Linked DNA regions of Canis lupus familiaris. The protein of the gene in region 6 interacts with the protein of the main gene of each other region in a pairwise test. Links are inferred from orthologs where the notes say so. Each region holds a gene or a part of one and is shown on either strand. Other genes may lie near its edges.

What was found.
Region 1: the proteins of ARID5A (region 6) and CKS1B interact in binary tests that used the Homo sapiens proteins (3 or more experiments, as listed by UniProt). The two-hybrid records come from large-scale screens. The link is inferred for Canis lupus familiaris from reciprocal best matches to the Homo sapiens genes ARID5A and CKS1B.
Region 2: the proteins of ARID5A (region 6) and RBPMS interact in binary tests that used the Homo sapiens proteins (3 or more experiments, as listed by UniProt). The two-hybrid records come from large-scale screens. The link is inferred for Canis lupus familiaris from reciprocal best matches to the Homo sapiens genes ARID5A and RBPMS.
Region 3: the proteins of ARID5A (region 6) and DAZAP2 interact in binary tests that used the Homo sapiens proteins (3 or more experiments, as listed by UniProt). The two-hybrid records come from large-scale screens. The link is inferred for Canis lupus familiaris from reciprocal best matches to the Homo sapiens genes ARID5A and DAZAP2.
Region 4: the proteins of ARID5A (region 6) and PNMA1 interact in binary tests that used the Homo sapiens proteins (3 or more experiments, as listed by UniProt). The two-hybrid records come from large-scale screens. The link is inferred for Canis lupus familiaris from reciprocal best matches to the Homo sapiens genes ARID5A and PNMA1.
Region 5: the proteins of ARID5A (region 6) and SOX5 interact in a two-hybrid assay, tested with the Homo sapiens proteins (2 studies listed by BioGRID and IntAct). The two-hybrid records come from large-scale screens. The link is inferred for Canis lupus familiaris from reciprocal best matches to the Homo sapiens genes ARID5A and SOX5.

What each region holds. Positions count from the first base shown.
Region 1 is NC_049228.1:42,484,136-42,488,226, reverse strand, and holds the start of CKS1B (cyclin-dependent kinases regulatory subunit 1), read left to right. Parts: upstream 1-1,291; 5' UTR 1,292-1,389; coding exon 1,390-1,448; intron 1,449-2,854; coding exon 2,855-2,982; intron 2,983-3,793; coding exon 3,794-3,846; 3' UTR 3,847-4,091.
Region 2 is NC_049237.1:34,777,312-34,781,499, reverse strand, and holds the start of RBPMS (RNA-binding protein with multiple splicing), read left to right. Parts: upstream 1-1,388; 5' UTR 1,389-1,670; intron 1,671-1,768; 5' UTR 1,769-1,907; intron 1,908-2,994; 5' UTR 2,995-3,250; coding exon 3,251-3,316; intron 3,317-3,781; exon of another isoform or gene 3,782-3,796; coding exon of another isoform or gene 3,797-3,820; intron 3,821-4,188.
Region 3 is NC_049248.1:43,029,625-43,033,769, forward strand, and holds the start of DAZAP2 (DAZ-associated protein 2), read left to right. Parts: upstream 1-1,345; 5' UTR 1,346-1,486; coding exon 1,487-1,499; intron 1,500-2,537; coding exon 2,538-2,656; intron 2,657-3,085; coding exon 3,086-3,254; coding exon of another isoform or gene 3,255-3,331; intron 3,332-4,145. UniProt on the Homo sapiens protein: In unstressed cells, promotes SIAH1-mediated polyubiquitination and degradation of the serine/threonine-protein kinase HIPK2, probably by acting as a loading factor that potentiates complex formation between HIPK2 and ubiquitin ligase SIAH1.
Region 4 is NC_049229.1:47,276,435-47,280,223, forward strand, and holds PNMA1 (paraneoplastic antigen Ma1), read right to left. Parts: upstream 2,627-3,789; 5' UTR 2,373-2,626; coding exon 1,311-2,372; 3' UTR 501-1,310; downstream 1-500.
Region 5 is NC_049248.1:23,356,332-23,360,628, forward strand, and holds the start of SOX5 (transcription factor SOX-5), read right to left. Parts: upstream 2,801-4,297; 5' UTR 2,655-2,800; coding exon 2,576-2,654; intron 1-2,575.
Region 6 is NC_049238.1:34,496,492-34,499,991, forward strand, and holds part of ARID5A (AT-rich interactive domain-containing protein 5A), read right to left. Parts: intron 3,208-3,500; coding exon 3,069-3,207; intron 2,712-3,068; coding exon 2,659-2,711; intron 2,167-2,658; coding exon 2,069-2,166; intron 1,858-2,068; coding exon 1,698-1,857; intron 1,291-1,697; coding exon 52-1,290; 3' UTR 1-51. UniProt on the Homo sapiens protein: DNA-binding protein that may regulate transcription and act as a repressor by binding to AT-rich stretches in the promoter region of target genes.

The DNA.
Region 1 (4,091 bases), on a different chromosome or scaffold from region 6:
TCCCCTCCACCCACGCCAGGCCACCGTTTCCAGGCAGCAGGACACTCTAGCTCCTGGTGCACCCGCAGGTTGCACGCCAACCTCACGGCCCTACCAGCTCCCGAGGTGCGGGTGCTAGCCCTACAGCTGTCTCTGGGGCGGAGTCTGTCCTGGGCTGGGAACCCAGGAGCAAGTCTCTCGGCCCCTTTGGCGCCAAACCCCAAGTCCAGGCCCCTCTCCGCGGGGCAGGGGGAGGGGCAAGGGAGGCGGAGGGCGGCCCCTGACCTCGCCCGGCTCGCCCCACCTGCTGGAGCAGAAGCACTGGCTCCGCAGAGCTGAGCCCCAAGCCCAAGGAGAAGAGAAGCTGTGTCAGCAAGGGGCTTCGGGACTACCACAGCGCTCCGAGGGGCGGAGCCCGCCCCACTCTGGACGCTGCCCAGGGGGAATGGGCCCCACATCACGGGTACCGGGCACTGTAAGAGGCGAGGCTACAGCACCGCCCGACGCCATCAGGCGGGGGGCGGGGCCTCTCGGAAGGCGTAGCCTCTGGGGCGGGGCTGCCGGCACTCGGCCGGGCCTCGGAGGGGCGGGGCTCTGGCCTCCTGGGGGACCCGTCGCCAGAAGGCGAAGAATCGGAACTCAGAGAACTACCGTCAGGTTTCTCACAGTCGGACTTGGAAGCATGTTCGGGGGTGGGACTTCCAGGAAAGCTGGGCAGCAGGGTGGGGTCGTGGACAATACACAGAAAACAAGTCGGGGTTCGGGGAGCCCCCTGAAGATGGGGGTGGGACTTCCGGGGAGGGGGGTCTCAGGGGGCGGGACTTGCACATGAAGACCGGAAGTAGGGTCCCGGGAGAGGGGTTCCGGGGTGGAGGAATGGGTCACCTTAGGAGAGGGAGAAGACCTAACTCACCAGGGCCTCATGGAGTCTCCGCACCGCACCGCGGCTCGATTTGGTTCCGGATCACGCCACTGCCTCCTTAGGTCGCCGTTCCAACTTTCTCCCCGGCCTGGCCTCCCTGAAGAAACTTTATTGCACTCACTTCCGGCCTCACTAACCCCTGACCCTCTACCTCAGCGTCCCTCCTTCAGCCGTCCCACTTTGCCGAATCAGCCAATGGCAATGCGAGAACGCGCACGGGGGCAGGAATAGCCAATTAGAGGCATATTTTTTCCCTACGCTCATTCTTGACTAACGTAAGCAGCGCGGTCCAATAAGGACTCGAACAGAAGCAAATCTAAACCAATCGGCGGCTTGAAGGTGGAGTAGTCCCGCCTTAAACCATGGGGTCCAATAGGAAGCGCGGGCGGCGTGTTTGAAAGCTAGGCCAAAGTGGGTGGGAGCGCGTGCTGCTGGGAGTTGTTTGGAGGTTGCCGGAGTGGGCCTGACGGTCCTCAGGCTGAGTGATCATGTCGCACAAACAGATTTACTATTCGGACAAATACGACGACGAGGAGTTCGAGTACCGGTTAGTGCCGCCGCGGGGGCCATAACGAGGTCGTGAACTTTGACAAGTGAGGGCAAGAGGAGTTAGTCACCGGGGCTGAAGCAACAGGACCGGCGCATGCGCGGGGGACTCCCGGGGCGCGGGCGCGGAGCGTAGCAGGGCGCCTGCGCGAGGGCCTGGCGGCGAGAGGGCGCGGACAGCTGCGGACCGCAGTGTGTCCCGCGCCGGGGAGCGGGCGGAGGGGGCGTGCCTAGAGCTCGAGGCCTCCGCACCCCGCACCATGCGGGGTTCTGGATCGTTCTGGGAGCTTCCCCGGGCACGTGGAGGTTGCCCGCTGGGGCGTGCTGGAAAGAAGTGGCCGCAGCGGTGCTGAACGATCCGGGAAAGGGGGCGCGGGCGTGCGGCTCGTGGGAAGGTCTGACCCGGCGACGCAGCGCCGCAGGCTCGGGAGTTGCGCCCGGGCACGGTGTGACGGAGGCAGCGCCGCCCCTCCAGGAGGAGTACCAGGGAAGAGCGAGGATGCTGCCCGCGTGCCGTTTTGGCTTCTTCCTGGAAGAACGTGGGATGGAGACTTGGCAGGCTTGCGTTTCCTTCCCGGCCAAGTGCGGGGCTCCGGGGACTCGGCGTGTGCTGACCCTTGGGGGACCCAGGCCACTTAGGTTTCTTTCCGCCGCTGACTGTGCGCTGCCACCTCTGCAGAGCTAGTTTCAGCTCCCCGAAGTTGTAAGTCCGGGCGCTGGCGTTGGGGGGCGTCGGTCGGGTCCGATTAGGGATCGAAGACGCTGTTTGTGAAAGAATTTGCTACTAGTACACACCTACTGTGTTTTCCCTGAGCATGATGGGGTCTATCTGGAGTAGCCCAACTCAGGTGAGAGTAAGGATTTTTTTTTTGCCATGAAAGGAGATTTATCCTTGGTTAGGAAAACCTGGGGTTTCCCAAGAGGAGTCTCATGGCAACTCTTTTCAGAGTTGGGAAAATGAAATGGAGGGTACATTTCAGAGGAGAAGATATTCACATTTCATCCTTGTGATGGCTCTTCCTCACAGCGCTCCACAAGAGGCCTTTCTTCTCCACAAAACCAGCCGTTTTCAAAACTACCTTTAATAATTAACGCTGTGAGTGTCGTGGGGCTGCCCTTAGATCGTTCTAATCAGCTAGCAGACTGAGCTGGAGGAAGGCAGGGGCGCGGTGTCCACAGCGCCTGTTCACTTGAGTTACTCACGCGTGCTTTTTAACATACTTGGGGGGACGATTTGCATAATCTGGCCTTTATTTCTAGCTGCCTCTGCCCCATGATAAGAGTACATAAACTCTCCCATTGGGAACCAATTTTTTCTTTTCTTTGCTCTCTTGGCTTTGTACACAAGCATTTGTCTAACACAACTGCACCCAGTACTGATGTGATCCCTCCGTGTTTCTGTTACAGGCATGTCATGTTGCCCAAGGACATAGCCAAGCTGGTCCCTAAAACCCATCTGATGTCTGAATCTGAATGGAGGAATCTTGGAGTTCAGCAGAGTCAGGGATGGGTCCATTATATGATCCATGAACCAGGTCGGTGCGATGGCTGAAAACAACCATTTAGGGCTCCTTGGCTGAGGAAAAGAGGAATGATAAGATGGTATAACCCAAAGAAATAGAGGTGAGGGTGGTCTATTGGTTCCTCACCAGCCACCTAGAAAAATCAGAGTGATGGGATCCCTGGGTGGTGCAGCAGTTTAGCGCCTGCCTTTGGCCCAGGGCGCGATCCTGGAGACTCAGGATCGAATCCCACGTCGGGCTCCCGGTGCATGGAGCCTGCTTCTCCCTCTGCCTATGTCTCTGCCTCTCTCTCTCTTTCTGTGTGACTATCATAAATAAATTTTAAAAAAAATTTTTTTTAAAAATCAGAGTGACAAAAAAGAGTCAAGTACTGGGAAGTTCAGAAGACAACCTGTCCCTGAAAAAACTCTTTCAATCTCTAATTCAGTCTGAGCATCACACACACACACCCGTCACCCTTTTTAAGGCCACAAACACCCTGGTAGAGGTTATGGATCCTGCATCATTCTCCATGAGAAAGCAAATTCTCAGATGTGTCCCAAATAAGCCAAGGGAAGTATATTTCTTGATAAGACACCAGACCCACAAGCAGCCAGGCAAATCTAATAAAGGAGGTGGGCAGGGGATGGGGGGGCTGTACAAACACAGCAAAGGAACTGATGCTAATAGTTCTCTGCTTAGCAGACAGGCCCAGCTTTAGGGTCTGCTTCTGAGGCCATATGCTTACATCTTAATGTAGTTCTAAAGGTCTGAAATGGGAAGGGGACGCACTACACACTGCAGAGACCAGGGTGAGCGTGTCTCTTCAATGTCACTCTTTCAGAACCTCACATCTTGTTGTTCCGACGGCCACTGCCCAAGAAGCCGAAGAAATGAAGCTGGCAGCCACTTTCCAGCCTCAAGCTTTACACAGCTGTCGTCGCTTGCTAACATCTTCCTGATAACATCATTATGTTGCCTTCTTGTTTTCTCACTTTGATATTTAAAGGATGTTCAGTACACTGTTTGTGCTGCTGACTGTTTTGCTTGAGCAGAGCCAACAGCACCATGGCCCGGCCAGTTGAGTGCTCTTTGGGCTGCAGCCTCAGCTGAGCTGTGTACCCAGCAGAGCACACTTGGTA
Region 2 (4,188 bases), on a different chromosome or scaffold from region 6:
GACTCGGAGAGAGAGGCAGAGACATAGAAGGAGAAGCAGGCAGGGGAGCTGATGCGGGACTTGATCCCAGGACCCCAGGATCATGACCTGAGCCAAAAACAGATGCTCAACCACTGAGCCATCCAAATACCTGCAATTTTATTTATTTTTGAAATCTCATCAGTTGTCTCATTCTGAGCAAGCTCTCTATCTAGGTGGGTCTCCCCTGCAAAATAATGCCTAAAGACTACTACCATGAATCTGCCTAGTGTCCTTGTGGTGGCTCCCTATGCTGAGACACTTCCACTTATTCAGTCCCTCCTGCAGGGGCTTTGTAAAGATGTGATGTCATTCAAGGCTGAAAATCAATCTCTGATAAGACTGTGTTCATTTATTCAAAAATATTCACCGAGAGCCTACTATGTGTTAGGCACTGTCTAGATATTGGGGACACAACGATCAAATCAGACAAAGATCTTCTTCTAGCCCTTATTTTTTTTTTTTTATGCCAGATGTCTTTGACTTTTAACAATGGACAAAGTGCTGGCAAAAGAATCAGGTTCTACATTTGGAATTAGGCCACATTTCCCTGGACGGAGGTAGCAGCAGCATCCTGGAATCATACAGCACCTTCCACCGACTTGTAAGTGGAGTCTGACTGGAATCATCAATGACTAGATCAACTGTCACTTTTCTTGGGCCTTTGCCAGGCTCCAGCAAGACAATATCTTTCTGTGGAGTGTATTCAGTACCTGGCAATGGCCCAGGAGGGCAAAGGGCCTGTGTTTATTGGTGGCGCAGGGGCCCAAGACCACCACGCAGCCATTGCTCAGGAACACATTGCCCCCTCGTGGTTCTTTACGTAATTGAGGGAGGGACTGGGATTGGAAAGGCTCTCCAAATTTCCAGATTAATCGTGGTGGCCTTTGCCTCTTCTGAACTTCCATTGCAAGTTCAACAGTTTCTTGGTTTATTTTCATCCAGGATACGCTTTCCCCCCACCCCCCCCACAGAGGCACATGACATCCTGACAGCAATTAAACCTATTTATCAAAAGCTTCAGACTTCCCCCACCCCCAACCCAAGAAAACCCCAGTAAGTGAATGCAAGAATTACCACTCTGTTTTTCTTCACAACGCTCGTCACACAAGTATTTTCTCTGCTTTCTGCTATTTGAACCAGGATCGCTGATCATGTGGCCATGGAGTTGTTTTGGGTGTCTCGTCTCCACAACACCAGTTAAAACTCCCTAGAAGCAGGAGCCTTATCTTCACCCCCACCTCCACCCCACCCCCAGCAGCACTTAAACCAGTACAGGGTGAAGAATGTCTGGCGGGGAGGGGGGAGAGCAGAGAAAGATAAACAGTGAAGCGAGCAAATAAATAGAAGTTGTGATTGGTACTGTGCTGGAAAGGAACAGCATGTCGTGTGAGAGAATTCCTGGGCGTGGGAAGTGAGGGAGAATCTTCTGATAGAGGCCCTTTTAAATTTATGTGTTTATGATACAGGAATGGAGAAGCTCTCTATGGCCCCGGGAAAATGGAAATTTCCTTAATAATAATGCTAGTTTCCCTGTTCTGTAAACTTACACCGGGCAGGAATGAGTGCTGGGTGCTCTAGCTCTACCAACCTATAATCTCCTCTAATTACAACCCCCCTGGGAGGTAACTATAACTACTCCCATTTCGCAGGTGAGGAAACGGAACCCAGGCAGTCCTCTGGCGCGTGGTGCTTAAACAGGTACTGGGTGCCCCCCTCCCAGAATGCTGAGCCCTTTTTCTTCCTTAAGGGGCTTTGACCCTCCGAAGATCATCTGGGTTGGCCTCCAGCTCGGCTCGCCGTGAGCAACAGTCACTTAGCCAACAAGTATTTATTGAGTGCCTACTGTATACCCGGTAGCGTATTTAACTAGCCGTGGGATTATCAAGGTAAACAAGGACACGGTGAGGCTGGCGTTGCGTTGTGGGGAGGCTCCCCCGGAAGGGTGAGGGAGGCAGGCAGGTAAGCAATTCCAGGACGGTCTGCTGAGGGCCGAGAGAGGGGCCTGAGCAGAGGGGGGCGCGAAGCCTAGCAGAGGGCGAAGGCCGGGGCTGAGAGCCTGGGAGGGCCCGGCGTGGGAGGTGGGTTTGAAGCTGCGCCCTGGAAACGCCGGCCCCGAGCCGGCTGCCCCCGGACCTCGCTCGTTCTCTCGCATCCTGTCATTTCGAGCTGCCAAGTAGGAAGGGAGGAAATAGGTCTGAGCCGGTGCTGCAGAGGCAGGGCAGGCTGAGCGACGGGGGCGCGATCCCCACGGCGGTAGCCCACGGCGCGTCCCGGGCGTCGCGCGGGCCCGGCCCGGCGCCCCGAAGCCCCTCTCCAAGCGGGCGCGCACCGCCGCGCGAGCTCGCCAGCTCCGGGGGCCCCCGGGGGCCGGGGAAGCGGGAGGACCTGGCCTCCCTCCCTCGTCCGCCTCGGCCCCTGCCCTCCGACCTCCCGCCGAGTCGGGGGGCTGGGGTCGGCCGCTTCCGCCCGCCGCCCCCCGCCCCTCCCCGGCGCGCGCCATCCGGCCGCGGGCGGCCCCTCCTCCCGAGGGGGGCTTCTGCGTCCCGCGTCCCGTCCCTCCGGGCTGAAGCTGGCAGCCCACGTCTAGGGAGGGCGGAGGGAGGAGGAGGAGGAGGGGGAGGGGGAGGAGAGAGGGGAGGGAGGAGGGCGAGAGAAAGGGAGCTGCTTGGATCCCGTACTTCTCAGAGCCTGCCTGGAGCGCGCACTCAGCGGCTCTCCGGGTCCCAGCGTCCCAGCCGCGCCCCGCACCTCCTCCTCCTCCTCCTCCTCCTCCTCCTCCTCTTCCTCGGGTCTGGGCACCCCTCGCCCCCTCCCTCCGGCCCCCGCCAGGCTCGGGCAGCGGCCGCCCCCAGCCCCGACGCGGCCACATCCCCAACTCTCTGGGCTCCCTCCTGGGACGCGCGCCCGCGCCCCATCCTTTCTTCCTTCCTTCCTTCCTTCCCTCGCGCCCGCCCGCCCGCCCGCGCTCTCCAGGTCTCCCTCCCGGTCCCGATTGTCTCCGTCCCCGCCGGCCCGCGCCTCGCCCTGCCCCGTGTCTCCCGCGCACTTCCTGGGTCGCCTCGCCTCGCCTCGCCGCGGAGCCCGAGCCGCCGCTGCCCCGGCTCCAGCCCCCGCAGCCCGCGGCGCCCGCCCGAGGGAGCCCCGGCGCCCGGGGAAGGGACAAGCGGGCGAGCGCGCCCTCGCCCCAGCCCCGCGCCCCAGCCCTGCCCGGCGAGGAAGGACCGGGAAGATGAACAACGGCGGCAAAGCCGAGAAGGAGAACACCCCGAGCGAGGCCAACCTTCAGGAGGAAGAGGTACCGGGGGGCTCGCTGCGGCGGGGGCACGACCTGGGCGCCGCAGTCCGGGGTCTGGGCACGGCCCTCGCCGCGACCTGTGGCCCCGGGCCGGGGGGGGGGCGGCGGGGGGGGTCTCTTCGCAGAGCGCGTTTCTAAAGTTGCGTAACTTTGAGGACTTTTCGGAGTTTGCTAAGTATAATGCTCAGCTTTGTCTGCGTGGGATTTTAAAAGCGGAATCGAGAGCTGACTCCCGGGTGACCTCCGGTTCCTGGGACCCAGAGGGTCGGGACCGAGTCTGCGACCGGGGCTGGGAGTGGGGGGTGTTTGTGCGTGCGGCGTGAGGAAGGAAGGAACTCGGGGAAAGTTCTCGGCGGGGAGACACCTTCAGTTCCCTGCCCCCTCCCCCTCCCTTTTCAGTGTTAAAAGTTCTCGGTGCGATCTCTTTCCAGCTGAGGCATTCTGGATTAATAGATAACTCATCAGCTGCATTCTTCTCTGATGAGTCAAAGACCTCGAATCTGGGTGATTAGGGTTTGTAAATTTTAGGGGCGATGCGGCTGGGGTGGGGTGGGGGAAGCCGAATAAAAGAGTTTGAGAGTTTACAACTCGCCAAGAGATCATCTTGGCTGTTTTAATAGCACTTTGACTCCTGAGCGTGAATTTTATGTGGTGCGTCCGTAACAAAGTTAAAAACGTTGCGGCGGCGGAGCGTTCCTTGGGGTAGAAACCCCATTTATCCGTGGGAGGGAACACCTGAACGGACGGTTTCAGAATTTTGTAGTTAGGATATTTGTGGTATTCTTTCAAGTGGCTTTGTTCCTGCAGGTATGTTACCTGGAGTCCAAGAAACAGTACATGTTTCGCCTGCTTTTTAAGTTCTCCCATAGCTG
Region 3 (4,145 bases), on a different chromosome or scaffold from region 6:
ACCCGGGATCGAATCCCACATCGGGCTCCCGGTGCATGGAGCCTGCTTCTCCCTCTGCCTGTGTCTCTCTCTGCCTCTCTCTCTCTCTCTCCGTGTGACTATCATGAATAAATAAATTTAAAAAGAAAAAAAAAAAATTAAAAAAAAAAATTAAAAAAAAAAAAAAGAACATTGTGTTCTGGGCAGCTGGATGGCTCCTTCAGCCCAGGGCGAGATCCTGGAGGCCTGGGATTGAATCCCACGTTGGTCTCTCTGCATGGAGCCTCTTTCTCTCTGATGGATAAATAAAAAAAAAAAAAAAAAAAAAAGAAAAAAAAAAGAACATCTTGTGCTGGGGGCGCCTGGGTGTCTCAGCAGGTTAAACGTCTGCATTGGGCTCAGGTCATGATCCCGGGGTCCTGGGATGTGCAGCCCCTGCATGGGGCTCCCTGCTCGGCGGAGAGTCTGCTTCTCTCTCTCCTTTGCCCATCCCTCTGCCGGTGCACTCTCTCTCTCTCAAATAAATAAATAAAATATTTTTTTTAAAAATGTCTTGTGGGGCAGCCCAGGTGGCTCAACGGTTGGGCGTCCGCCTTCGGCCCAGGGCATGACCCCAGGGTCCTGGAATCGAGTCCCACGTTGGGCTCCCTGCATGGAGCCTGCTTCTCCCTCTGCCTGGGTCTCTGTGTCTCTGGTTAACAAATAAACAAAAATCTTAAAAAAAAAAAAAAAGGTCTTGTTTAGCTCCATCTCTGTACTTGCGCAGAGGCGGCGTATCTTAAAATGAAGGTTGCCCGGGGCACTGCTGCCTTAGAGGGTGGCACCCCTGCCCTTAAGGACAGTGAGGGTAGGGACGAAGGGAGAGAGAGGGAGGCTACAGGAGGCGGCAGGCCGGGCCCTGCGCGGGGCCTCCCTCGGGCAGAGGGGCAGCGACGCAAGTGCAGGCGGGCACCTGCCGGCGGGACGGGCAAGGCGGCCAGGACCCACTGACGGCGCCGCCAGCCCGCGCAGTCCAGGGGCCGGGGCCGGGGCCGGGGCCGCCGCGCTCCGCAGGTGAGGTCACCTTGAGCTGCTGCGCAGAGGTGGAAGCAGGTTCCGGGGAGCGGCTTCAGCGGCTCTGCCCCCGAGCGCCCCAGAGAGAGAGAGAGAGAGGAGGGGGGGGGGCGGAAAAAACAAAGGCAAAACCAAAAAAAAAAAAGCCAACAACCGTGTTTGGAGACAATACCTGCATTCGGTTTTCTTCCCGTCGTGGGACGCGGGTGGGGGTGGGAGGGCGAGACCCAAGGGGCGGGGCCGCCGCGCGCCGGGGGGGCGGGGCCACGCGCGCCCGCCCTCCAGCTACTGGACGCCGCGCGGGAGGGGCGGGGCTTCCGGTGGCGGCGGCGCTCGGGCGTCGGGTGACGCGAGGCGGACGGGCCGTCACGTGACACGGAAGTGACTACGAACAGGAAGAGGACGAAAAAAATAACCGTCCGCGACGCCGAGCCGAACCGGACCCGCAGCCACCATGAACAGCAAAGGCAAGGGCAGGGGGCGGCCGGGGCCGTCGGGGGGACAGTGCTAGCCTGGAGCGAGCGGGCCCGGAGCCCGGGGTCGCCAAGCGGAGGCTTGGGGCGCGCTGCGCCTCCCTCCCCGGCCGGCTGCGGCCCCGGGGGCCGCGCCAGACGCCTTCGTCATCCCCGAACTGCGGCTGCTCGCTGCTTCCCGGCCCTTTCCTCCTTAAACTCTGTGGCGCAGTTTGGAGCTGCGGGCTCGGGTGGAGGGGCGGGGGGGTGCAGGGGGGAGGCTTGTCATGATGGGCATCTGCGGGAGCAAATGGGGAGCTAGAGCAGGGATGCGGGTCGGCCAATGGCGCGCCGGCGGGGGCGGGGCTTCGCGCTCCGGAACCAGAGGCCGGCGCCCGGGCTTAACCAGTGCGGCGCCGGCGGGCGGGCCCCGGGGCCCGGGGGCCCGGGGGCGGCGGAGGGGTCTCCCTCCGCGTGCCTCGCGCGGCCGCCCGAAGTGCCCCCGGCTCCTGGGACTGTGCCGGCGTCGGGCCCCACACGGTCCTCCGCTGTGCCTCAGGACGGTTCCCGTTATCCTCCCTCGGGTCCCGAGGGCTCACGTCCATCGCGCGCTGTATTCGGAAGGCGACCTTGAGTAGGAAGCGGCGGGGCAAATAACCCGCAACCTCCGTGACCCAACGAGGTCGCGGCTCGGTCCAGCCAGGCCTGTGGCGACCACCCGGAGCCGGGGCAGCGCGTCCCTGCCGTTGGGCACGGGCAGGAACGGGGCCCCACACCTGCCCTGCATCGATGGAGAAGCTCGGGTGTGCCAGTGGGAGGACTGCCCCGGTAGGAGTAGGGATAAGGGTGCGAAGAGAATATTCTCTCGGCCCCAGAAATCAGCCCCCACCCCCACCCCACCACCCAGAGCGGTCTGTCTACACATCTCCAGCTTGCTGCCCCTAGGGCAGCTACCCAGGATGCTCTGCCCCATTTTGGTGGCTCTGTGTGGTAGGCAACATGCATTTTCTTTTTCTTTCCTTTTTTTTTCTTTTTTTCTTTCTTGTCTTCCAGGTCAATATCCAACGCAGCCAACCTATCCCGTGCAGCCTCCTGGGAACCCAGTGTACCCTCAGACCTTGCATCTCCCTCAGGCTCCACCCTATACTGATGCTCCACCTGCCTACTCAGAGGTGCTTCCAGTTTACTAGACTTGAACCCAGTGCTCTTGGGTCACATCTTCAGTCCTTAGCTAATAAGCCTGAGTCCACGCATATCTATTCAGTGTCCGTAAATAGGAGAAGGGAGGGCTCACGTGAATAGTCTGAAACACTGTACACTTCAGCGCAATTTCTGTTGGGGTTGAGACTGCATCATCTGATTGTTTCATGTTTTTTTTTTTTTTTTTTTTTTGGCACCGGGTGAGGTTAAGAAGATGAGCTTGCGTTCCTTGAGCCTCACGTTAGCTATGGCAGGAAGTGATGCAGGAGGGTACTGAGTGGCAGTGGAAAGGCAGTTTGTGTAACTCAAGAGTGTAATCTGCACAAGGACAATTAAGAATTGAGCGTAGAAGGGATCTAAAATCGGAATGTCATAAAGTAACCTGTTGCCTTCTCTTCTAGCTCTATCGTCCGAGCTTCGTGCATCCGGGGGCTGCCACGGTCCCCACCATGTCAGCTGCATTTCCTGGCGCCTCACTGTATCTTCCCATGGCCCAATCTGTGGCTGTTGGACCTTTAGGTTCCACAATCCCCATGGCTTATTATCCAGTTGGTCCCATCTATCCACCTGGTTCAGCAGTGCTGGTGGAAGGAGGGTATGATGCAGGTGCCAGATTTGGAGCGGGGGCTACTGCTGGCAACATTCCTGTGAGTATGACCTTATCAGAACAACTCAGCTCTTACGTAGTTTAACTTTCTGAAGAGATTACATATTCATCCTTTCACCATCCCTGGGTAATAGCTGTGGTATGGGTATAAGCACTGACATCCAGTAGTTGGGCAGAAAGCAGTTGAGGGGGCAGGAGAACTGTGGCAAGTCAGTAGCATCTGGCACATTCCCTGGGGCCTGAGTTAACCAGATTCCTTTGTTTTCCTATACCTCTTTAAAGCATTAGGAGTCCTGCCTGCTGCTTTTGCAGTTCCACTTTGGTACTGGTCTAGTAATACTCCTTATTCAGCCTGTAACATTTACTTCAAATTTGCCTTCAGTATGGCATTCCATTAAGAAACGTGATAAAAGAAAAACGTGATGAGTAAAAATGGAGAAAGACACATGAGATAAGCACTGTGTGTTATATGTAGGCAACTTGAATTTAAATAAAATAATAATTTTTAAAATCCTGAAAAAAATGAAGAAAGCATAGTCCCCTATTAAGTGGCATTTAGAAAGATACTAGAGATTTTAGTTATGTTGCCTGCTTAGCTCCCCCCTCTATAAGAATTAGAGCCCAGGTGGTCCTTGCCTCAAAGCCATATACCTGAAATGAGGTGAGAATGCCTTTAAATGAGTGGTAGGCTCTTTTCCTGTCTGTACCTTTGGGTTCACAGAGAATATAGACCTGCTTTACAACCCACGTTGGCAGAACTAGCTTTAAGATGTGATTGGTCAGGACACTGCCATCTTTCTAATGGATCCTGTTTCACGTGTGTCCACTTCCCTTGTCTCAGCTGCCCTCTGCCC
Region 4 (3,789 bases), on a different chromosome or scaffold from region 6:
GGTTTTTATTTTTTTTATGATAGTCACAGAGAGAGAGATAGAGAGAGGCAGAGACACAGGCAGAGGGAGAAGCAGGCTCCATGCACCAGGAGCCCGACGTGGGATTCGATCCCGGGTCTCCAGGATCCCGCCCTGGGCCAAAGGCAGGCGCCAAACCGCTGCGCCACCCAGGGATCCCTGAAAAGGGATTTGAAAGGGGAGAAAAAGCATTACTAGATAACATCCTGAGCCCCATTTCAGGATTTCCTAACTTTTTATAGTAAGTTAATATTGACTTAGGTCTGTTCAGCCTTCTAATATTTGCCTTGTAGAAAACATGCAAAAATTGAATACATTGAAAGGTTCTGTAATTCAAACTCAAATAGTATGCTATAAGGTTAAAGATACAGTAACTGAAGTTATATTTTTTTTAAGTGACACCAGGAAATCTTCCTAAGAGAATAAATATAGAGCTTAATTACACTGAAATTTTATATATGTGTCAGAAAAAAAAGACAATAGAATTTTTTAAATACTTTTATTCATATACATGTATTTTGACAACTTCAAATTTAGAACACTTAGAATCAGCATGAACAAGAACTACCATTCAATGACAAGGATTTGAAATGGGGGAATAGATACTGTAACTGGTTCTTATTAATCTCCCCATGCAACAAGACACTCCCTGTGTCTTGTACACAGAAAAATTGATTCACACAATTCTAGAATTGCAGTATTTTTCTAACATCCCATTCCATAGTCTCAGAATACTTTTCAATTAAAGTGATCCAGATGTTTCGAGATGAAAAATAAAACAATTTGCTTTGTAAGGCTGAATAAATAGTATGAGTCACATTTCTTTCCATTAATATAAATTAGGGAAAAAACTTAGGAACAATTTACTGTAAACACAAAAACTATTCACAATATTAGTAACAACGGCTCATATTTTTACCGAACACTTCCTGTGTTTGCCAGGCCCCACGCTAAAACATCTGAACATGCAATTTCACAATTATCTCAATGAGAAGTGTCAGGGATTCACATGGTTTTTACAACGGATGATTGCCACAATGACAGCTGGCACTGAGCACTTGTGTACAAGTCTTTACCTGGCATTGCAGCGAGTACGACTCACTTGTAGCAGCTCAGGGTGCTCATTTGCGCGATTGTACTAATGTTACATGAATACTCAGGCCTGACTCCCTACCCCCACCCCCAAAACAGCACATGGCGGAAGTCTTTACCACTAGGGACACATCTGTAAGAGCACGGAGACAAGGTAAGCGGCTGCGATCTAGATGTGCACTGTCGCCGTTTCCTGGGCCTCAGAAGTGCCCCTCCAAGCCTAACTGCAGGAGGGCGGCCTCCGCCTCCTCCTCCTCCTCCTTGGCCTCCTCCTCGCGGATCTGCACCAGCAACTGGAAGAGGTTAGGGGCAGGCCCTTCCGCGGCCCCGGTCAGCCACAGCTGCCTCCGGATGGCCCCGCTGTGGTTGGCCCCGGCAATGACCTGCTCCAGGCGGGCCTGGTTCACGTTATCTTTATCTATGGCCCCCTTCTCCACCACCTTCTGCAGAAGAGGCTCCAGACGAATGACATACGCAGATAACTTTTCTCCCGGGTTCTGGTAAGTGTTCAGAAATCTGACCTGCGCATCCCTAGAGCTCTCGACGCTCCCAAACACCTGCTCAAGCGCCTTCAGGCATTCGGCAGTGGTTATCGCAGGGTTGTTCGTCTTGAGGATGCGGATGACATCAGCGGCGGGGCCCCGAAGACTCTCCATCAACCGCCGCCTCTTTTCTACATCAGACACCTGCCACTCCTCTATGACCTCATTAGTGTGTTCCAGCCAGGGATCAAAGGTCTCCTCCCCAGGCCCCGGGATGTCCCTCCCCGAGAACAGCGTCAACTTCTTGTACCATATGGACTCAACAAGAGGCTGAATAACGTTATCTAAAATATAGTTTAGCATCTCTGCTGGCATATCTGGACCCGGGGCCGGAGTGGGGTTCTGAAACCCAAGGACGCGGGCAACATCTTGCACGGTCCACCCCTCTCTCGCTAGGAAGAGGTGCAACCTTTCTAAAAATTCAGCATCGGAAGTCGGGGGTTTAAAGACCACTTTCCAGACACCTCCTTTACCCGGCATCTCCCTGGGGATCGCGGCGTAATCGACAGCGCCAGTGAGCTCTAACAAGGCTGCTTTCGCATTCTCTTCCCTCCAAAACATCCTCCCAAGCACTCGATAGGGCACCTGGGGCATCGCAGCCTGGAGGGTCTCCTCGATTTCAGCCTCATCACAGTTCACTGGGATCCCCCAGACCAGCAGGGCTCTCTGGGAGTTCACATCCATCCCCCGGCACCAGTCTTCCAACAGCGTCATCGCCATTTCCCCAACTAGCGAGGGCCCCGATTCTACAAAGACGGATTAGGCTGTGGCTCCCTGCGCTCTAGGGCTCAGCGCGGCAGCAGACACCCCCCCACCCCCGTAGGCGCGAGGGAGGCAAGCTTGACGCAATCACAATTAACAAACGACACCAGAGTCCTGCCCTCTTCCTTCGCGGCCCCCAAAGGCAGTCCGCCGGCTGGTCCCCGGAGCCAAGCCCCGGGAGGCTCGGGCAGTCGCCTCACGCGTCCGCCGCCACCGGCGTCCTCAGTCGGGGCCCGCGGCCCGGGTCCCCCACCTGCAGCCGGGGGTCGCGTCCCGTCGCAGCGCAGGAGGCGGGCAGCGAGCGCGGCTGGCGAGGGCTGCGCCGCGGGGCCGGAGGCGCCCGGGTGTGGTCGCGGGGCGTGGCCGCCTCCTCCCGGCAGCCGGGCGCCGGCACTCGGGGCTCCCCTCGGAGGCGATCCCGGCGTCCGCGGCCGGAGCCCGGCCTCCAGTCGGCCGAGGAGCGGCTGCTCTGCAGACGAGGGCTGTGCGGTCCCCGGAGGCAGAGCCTGTTCTGAGGTCGCGGCGGTGGCTGCCACGCCAGCCCGCCAGCGGCTTCTTTGCAGACGCAGGGATGGCTCCGGGCGGTGAGGGCGGCTGAGGACCGAGCACACGGGCGGCGGAGGCGCCGAAGGACGGGGAAGCGGGGCCACAGGCGGCGGCGGCGCGCAGGCTGCGGCGGGCTGCGGCGGTGTGGCGCAGCGGGGCCGCCGGGGTCCCACCGCAGCCCGCGGAGGCGTTACTGCCGCAGTGCGGGGCGGGGCCGGCTGCGGAGCCGCTTCCTCCGCGCCCCGCCCCCGAGCGTAGCCATGGCAACGGCGGCCCGGACTCCCGCCCGCTCCGCGCGCTCCCGGGGTTGGGGCTGGGGGCGGGGTGGGGCGGTTGCAGAGGCGCTGGCCTGACGCTCCGGACACTGCTCTCTTTGGTGGCGCATTTCCTTTTTCACATTTTCCAGTTTTTATTTCATTTCTTAAAAAAGATTTTATTTATTCGTGAGAGACACAGAAAGAGAGGCAGTGACACAGGCAGAGGGAGAAGCAGGCTCCACGCAGGGAGCCCGACGCGGGACTCAATCCTGGCACTCGAGGAGCACACCCTGGGCCGAAGGCAGGCGCCAAACCGCTGAGCCACCCGGGCTGCCCTTTATTTCATTTTTTAAAAAAGATTTTATTTATTCATGAGGGGTGGGCAGAGACAGAGGCGGAGGGAGAAGCAGGTTCCCTGCAGGGAGCCCCATGCGGGGCTCTATCCCAGGACCCCAGGATCCTGACCTGAGCCAAAGGCAGGAGGTCAAACACTGAGCCACCCAGGTGCCCTTAAAAAAAATTTTTTTTTTTTTTTTTAACAAAGCACCTTGTTTAAAAGATAATATAATTCT
Region 5 (4,297 bases), on a different chromosome or scaffold from region 6:
CATGTGGCAGATCTGGGACTTGAACCTAAGACTGTCTGACATCATAATCCATTTTCTTTCTAATAGACAACATATACCTCTTCAAAATATAGCTGTCTCTGTATTAATTCCCCACTTCATTTTATTTTTAAGTATTTGCTAATGTGTCAAATAAAGTAATTATTAAAATCAGTTTACAGTGGGAAAAACATAAGAATTGGAGGCCACACCCCCGCTACCTATAACTACTCCCTTCTTCCTTTTATTTCTGTATAGCACTTACTATCTTTTTTTAAGATTTTATACATTTATTCATGAGAGACACAGAAAGAGAGGTAGAGACATAGGCAGAGGGAGAAGCAGGTTCCCTGCAGGAAGCCCAATGTGGGACTCCAGTAACATGCCCTGGGCTAAAAGTAGGCACTAAACTGCTGAGCCACCCAGGCATTCCTAGCACTTACTATCTCTAAAATTAGTTTGCTTTATGACCTTACCTATTTTCTTCATTACTTTACCTACTTTTCTTCATTACCTCTAGCACCTAGAACAGTGCCTAATTAAAGTTAAATACTTAGCAAATGAATAAATAAATGTATTCATAAGGACAGGTCAAAATTTGTCTCTTTACTAAGCTATGTATGACAGGCTTGACAAATCTACTAGCCTGTTAGCTTTTAAAGTCTCGTTTCTTTAATGGAAAACTGCCTAAGGTTTTTATAAGCTAAAATCCATTCATTCAAAAACTACTTATTGAGCACCTACTATATATCTTTATTATACTACAAATATTAGTAGTATAATATATACTACTATACTATATATACTATACTATATACTATATACTATATATATATACTATACTATACTACTATATTATATACTATAATAATATATATTATAATAAATAATAATTAGCAGAGTCTCTTCAACTGGGTAACCAAGAAAGAAGACATTTGAGTTAGGAGGTGAAGGAGTAAGACATGCATAGTGAGGAAAGAATTTTTCAGGCAGTGAGAATAGCATGTCAGAATGACTGTATTTTCAGAGTGGCTGTAATGCAGGGAATGAATGAGAATGAACAGGAAATTAGATCAGATATAAGGGAGAGTCAAAGATGGGTTGTGTAAGGCCTTGTAGGCCATTGTAATAATACTGGCTTTTATTCTCAGAAAAAAAAATAGCAGCCATTGAAGGGGTTTGAGCAAAAGTGGAACATTCTGTGACTTAGGTTTTTAATGGGCTCAGCACTTCTCAATGGGGTTGCTATTGGTATTTTGGGTAGGCAATTTCTCTTTGCCCTGACCATCAAGCCCATGGTTGATCATTTAGCATCTCTAAATCCCCAGACCTTCTGAACTAAAAATGCTCCCACTTATTTTCAGAGCTATGCTATAAATAGACTGAAGGTAGGTGTAAAGAGCCTATTTTGATATTCCAGGCAACAGCTGGCATTATCTTGAGCCAAATGGTAATGGTATAAATTCAGAATATATATTTTGGCAGATAGGATTTACCAGTGACATAGATACGGATGTGAGTGAAAGCTAGAAGTCAAAGGATGACTCCCAGGTATTTGGAATGGGCAAACAGGAGGGAGTTGCTATTCACTGAAGTTGTGAAACTGAATATGGATGAAGCCAATTTGTGAAGAAAGCAGGAATTCAGTCAAGACACATTAAGAACTACGATGTAAAAACAGATATATCTATATTTTATGGAAGAATTTTGTAAAATGGGGTAATGAGGACTACTGCTGAACTGAAGGATTTTGCTAGGATGTGTTTTATGAAGGTAAAGAGTTAAATATTAGATAAATGAATAAATGATTACTAATAATGAATAGTAATATATTAACCAGTTTAAGCAATCAGATTATGTCAAGAAAAGGGTTTTTTTTCCTTCTTTATAAAACTATAATCCAAAAGAATGAGTCTAATTGTGGAATTTCAAACGATAAATGGTGTGGAAGTAGGTAGGCTTTTAATGCTGTTAAAATCCCACCAGGCCCATATTGCATGGAGTAGATATCCTGCAGTGAGATTAGGCTCAGCCTTGGGAAAACAGTGGGTGCACTACTGTCCTGTACCTCATACTGACTAAGCACCATCGCTTCCAACACAGTAGAGTCAACAGTCAATAAGTGCGAACTTTTCCACATCCATAGGCAATTTAAGGATTTCAGAGGAAAAGCTTTATCTAAACATGGTTTAGACATTCTTTATCAGTTGAATTTAGTCATTCTTCCAGAGATGGAACAAATGATCTGAATTGACACAATGAACTAACTGATACACACAATTTAGAGTTGGTAAGAGGAAGTGTCCAATCGCATCACTGATGGAACTTTCCCCTAGAGACAGGATTCCACCTACCCATGAGTAGAAAAGTCTCATTTTGAACAGCAATGCTCATCATATAAACATGAAGTTTCCCTCCAAATGTGTTGAGTAACCAAACTCACATAGTCAGAAAAATTTCCTTCTCTTTGGATTTATGCGGCATTTATGAACATTCTATCACAATATGTTCTATTAATAGCCTCTATGATTTGATACAAGGGAAATATTTGTATTCAAAAAGAAGTCCTTGCACTCACATATACACAAGTACACTTTGCTTCCTTCAAAACATGGCATCATTTTCCAGACTGACTTGGCCTGTTGTGTGATACCCATCCTTTTTCGCTCTGTAACATTGGTGGAGGGGAAGGGGATGCAATGCTTCAGTCAAATTGTATCCCCAATCACCAGTTAGATAAAGAAGTTAGAAGGTTCATGCAAAGGTGGTTACTTGAACTGAAGTGGGAGGAATGTGATAAAGAAGTAGTAGTGGCAGACAGATGCCCCATGGGCTTCATATTGTTGTTTCACAGAAGGACATACTGTGTCATAATGAATTACCACTAATTTGAGCCAGCAGTACTGTTAGATTGAGCCCGGCAACCCAGAATGACAAACAGTGCCTGCAAGATCATCTAATGAGGGGACAAGGCTGCTCCAGTAGCACTGCTTCACTCAATTAGTGGACAAGGCTTTTAATGCCGCTCTGCACAACTAAAGCAATTTTGATTACTTAGAGCTAAGTCTCCATTTAGAATGTTTCGGAAGCTGAAACAGGGTTTCTTTCTTTTTTTTCCCTTTAATATAATTTATCTTGAGAGTATTTGAATGGTAATAAGCTATTTGAAAGCCAATCACATTATTTCCTATTTTTCCCTAAGTAATATTGAAATACATTTTTTTAAAGTTCAAATGATAGAATTTACTCTAGCAAATGAAATGTAAATAAGATAGCAAATGATTAAGGATATGCCGAGGGTGTGTGTGTGTATGTGCGTGTGTGTGTGTGTGTGTGTGTGCATGCGGGCACTATGTGTGTCTCTCTGTGCCAGAATTACAGTTGGTGAATTTCATTTCATCAGCCAACATTATCAGGAGGGTTGCATATTTATTCTATATATCCACATTTAAAAAAAAATTCCAGATCTTGCCTTCTTTGGCTGGGAGCACTTATATTTCATAGCTTTTGATATGGGGAACTGACGTTTCTACTTAGTTATTTTTTTTTTCACTATGTCACTGAATGATGAAAAGCACTCATATGTGTAATGGTACAACTTTCTTTAATATCGTGATCACTGACTTAGAACTAAACAGAGGCTATTTAGGCTTAGCAAATTCCTTTCATTCTCATTAGAAACACACAGGGTTCTTTATACATGGCTCTAGACATCTTCTGGCTTTCTATCTATGCAGTGTGTGTAATTCTCAGACTGCTAGCACTTTGTGAAATTCTATGAAATTTTGCCTATTTGAGTAGAAGGTCATTGAGTAAAAGGAACTAATCAAGTGCTAGACACAAAGTAGGTGCCAATAAATTTTTACTGAACTGACCACAAATTCTACACAGATAAAGAAAGTAAACCTCATGAGGTTCCTGGGTGGCTCAGTTGGTTAAGCACCTGCCTTCGGCTCAGGTCATGATCTCAGGGTCCTGGGTCCTGGGATTTGGCCCCACATTGGGCTTCCTGCAGTGGGGAGCCTGCTTCTCCCTCTCTTGCACCCCCCCCCCCGCGCTTGTGTTCTCTCTCTCTCTCTCTGTGTGTCAAGTAAATAAAATCTTAAGAGAGAAAGAAAAAAAAAACAAAAAGTTTAAAATTTTAACATTTGGCTCACTGGAAAACCCATAGTTAAATAAAATAACAATTTTCTTAATTCCAAAAAGGTTAGCTCCAAAGGCATGTTACACTTTCAAGGAGAGGATTATGTATTAATAGAAAATGGTACATTATTGGTATTGTTTTTCTAGTAAATAGAAA
Region 6 (3,500 bases):
CCACTTCAGACCCCGCACAGCATAGCACAGCACAGCACTGCAAGCTCCAACCTAAAGCTTGGTGTTGAGGTGGAAAAAGTGGGGTGCTGCATAGGTTGTGGCAGGTGGCACATGCCATGCAGACGAGGCTGGGCAAAGTCTGTGGCGAAGGGCACTGTCAAAGGATGACGGGGGGAAGTGCATCAGACCTGTGGCCATGGGTGAGGGCCCTGTAGTGGCCAGGAAGTGGGCCGGGAAGGCAGGGATGACCAGGGGGCTGAAGGGGAGAGTGGCCTGGCCCTTTAAGTGGTCCGGGGTGCCAGCAAAGTTCAGTGGGCACCGCAGCATGGTGCCCCTGTAGGCCTCAGGGAGGGCAGGCCCCAGCGCTGGGCCCAGCAGGCAGGACACGGCCACACCAGACCCCATAGATTTGGCCCCACACTCCTTGGCGTCCACCTCCTTAAGAAAGGGAGACACTGCCCGCAGTTTTTTGCCACCATGGGCAAAGCCCTCTTCTTCCAGGCTGCGCTTGGTACCCAGGCCGGGGCTGCTAGGGAAGGTAGACAGGGGAACAGGGCTCTCAGCAGGGGCCTTGGCCATCGGGGACACCCAGCAGGCTTTGGGCTTGGGGTAGGGGCTGCCTTTTCTAGAGCTGCCTTTATGGAATGCAGACGGGCGGTTGGCATCCCCGCCCCACACCAGCTGGGGCTCTTTGACTGCCAGGCCTTCCTCTTTGCCAGGGGGCCCCAATAGCACCCCATCTTTAAAATTGGGGAAGAAGTCCCGGGGGTGCTGGCTGACGGGCTTCAGCACCTCAGTGGGGTATGCGTGGAAACAGCCAGTGAAGATGGGGGCTGGTAGGCGGGGACCCACTTGAGCCTCCTCCCTGAGGCTGCCACCAGGGGCCTGTAACCCCTCCGGAGGGGTTAGCCGGTGCCTGGAGTTCTCAGCTGGCTTTCCTGGGCTCTGAGGACTTTCCGACAGGAGAATGGCAGGGGATGCCTGGGGGTCCCCATTAGGGCTGCCTACCCCGTGGCGACAGCCCTCCTCCTGGCACTGCAAGGCCTCTGCCTTGCTCACTTGGGCCAGGAGCTTCTTTTTGGCCAGTGGTGACATGATGCCATGTGTTCCTTTGCAGTAGAAGCTGGACAGGAGCCGCTTGTAGGCCTCAGGGCAGCCGCTGGCACCCCCAAAGGGTGGAGAGGGCCCCAGGGCCGGGCCTGGCTGTTCTGGGCCCTCCCTGGGGGCCTCCTGGTTGGGAAGCCGTGCCAGGTCAGGGGCAGCATCTGTTTTCATCTTTCCTGGCACCATCTGGAAGGAGAAAAGGCCATGCCTCAGGGCTGGATGTGCGAGCTGTGTATCCTGACCTAGGGACCCCATGGCAGCAGGGGCACAGAGGTATTCCCAAGAGCCTCTGCTAGCCCTTCCAGCGCCTTTGTGGAAGGTTTTCCAAAGGTATCCCGTCCTCTGAATGGACGCAGCCTGGTACCAGGACATGGGGCCTGGTGACTGTGGGGCAGACTGGAGTTTAGACCTGACATGGCCCCTCATTTGACCCTACACAACCATTACCCCGGAAAGCCCCCTCCCCTGCCACCCCAGGTCTGCCCCTCAGAGCGTGTTCTCGGTATTCTGGGCAAGGAGTTCTGTGCCTTGGCAAGGGCAGGGGGAGGAAGGCCCAGGGTCAGCTGGTGGCCCCAGGCAGGCACAGAGCTCACCTGATCCAACCGCTTCTCTTCCTTGGCCTTCTTCGGCTTCTCAGTGGTCCCATCATCCCCCCGAGGCTCCTTAGCCATCTTGTATTGCTTCCTGGGCTTGGAAGGGGGCAGTGGCTTGTCGTCCTCCCCCTTCAGGTGCCGCACATATGGGAGCACCAGCCTGAGGAGGAGCAGAGCGTGTCCACCGGGAGGCCGGCCTGGCCCACTTGCCACCAGGGCCGCGCCCTTCCCCACGTCATCCAGGAGGCCTGCAGCAGGCCAGCCACCCCACAGGGCTCTGGGTGGTGAGGAAGCACAGCGCACCCCTCGGGCACCCCACTCCTGGCCCCACTGCGGCTGTGCCCCACCCTGAGGTCTCACCCCGGCCGTACCTCTCGTAGTGGCGGCGTGTGCAGGTGGCTGCGCTGGTGCTGCCCGGGCTGCCCCCCAGCTCGTCATACACGTTCTTCCAGAGGCGGCGGCCGGTCACCTGCAAGGGCACCACGTGAGTGCATGGTAGGCACACGCCGCCCAGGTGGTGGGGTCCCTGCCGCTCCAGGTCCCCACTTGGCAAGGCTGGGGGCAAGGACCGCAGTTTGGCACCTGCCTCTCTGGCAGCAGCAGTGGGGAGACTGGAGGGGGCTCCCTGGCCACTAGCCAGTCCTCCGGCCCCAGGGGCCACTGCCTGACTGCTGGCCCGGGCAGTGTTCCCAGCTTGGGGAGCATGGGGAAGACAGAACAGATGGGAAGACAGGAAAACCTGCTTGAAGCAGCAAAGTACCAGTGGGCCAGGCAGGCCCTCCTCCCCACAGCATGCAGGAGAGCTGGGGAAGCGGCAGGCTCTGGGACCCTGCCTCTTCCTCCTGTCTGGTAGTGAGGACAGCGCTGTCCCCAGACAAGGCTCTTCCTCCCCAGGTCCCCACAGGGTAGTGGGGACGGGCTGCAGGATGCAACATGCTGAGGACTGAGATACCCTCCTTACCATCTCATAGGCCCCCAGCTTCTCCACTGCTTTGTAGATTTTCCACAGGTTAACTAGAGAAGAGAGAGGGCAGGGCCCCCATCAGTCTCTGCGGAAGGAAGGGGCAGCCAGCAGCCCATCCCCGTGGACCTGTCAGGCAGGCACAGAACCAACACACACCCAGACAGGGCCATGGCAACGGGTGGCTAGGCCAGGCCCTAAGCACTGGGGGCCCAGTGGCCAGTGAGGACAGAAGTCCGGCCCCACCCACTGCAGCCCTGTGCCTGGGGTGGGGGGTGCCCTTTCTGTGTGCAAGCCCTGTGGGCTGGCATCGCCCAGGGTTGCCCAGAGTGGAGGTGCCTGCATGACACCCTGCCTGGATGGAATCCCCTGCCGGGCTCCCCCTCCCTGCCTGCAACCCAGGGACGCACTCTGCTTGAAGCCGAGATGGGGCACCCTCTCGATGGGCGTGTGTCGCTCCTTCATGAACTTGTAGAGGCTGACCAGGAAGGCCTGCTCCTCCTCCCGCTCCTGGTCCTCCTCCCGCTCCCCGCCTGCCTCGGGGGAGTCCTGGGGAAAGAACAGGAGGCATTGGGATGAGCCCCCAGTTGGTGGGTGGCTGGGGACAGACGGAACCACTGCCTGCTGGGGAAGGAGGTATGTGGTCCCCGACCCCAGGCTCCCGTGGGAGGGAGCAGGCCCCCAGCACCCAGTTGACAGCTCTGGGCTGGAGTGACTGTTTCTGGCACCAGAGAGGTAGTTGTCAGCTGTTAGTGCCCAGGACGCCAGCTCAGGGTCCATGGAAATGGCTCCAGAGACGGCCATAGGAGCAGCCCTGCGGCTTCTCCAGGCCTCTCTCCAGG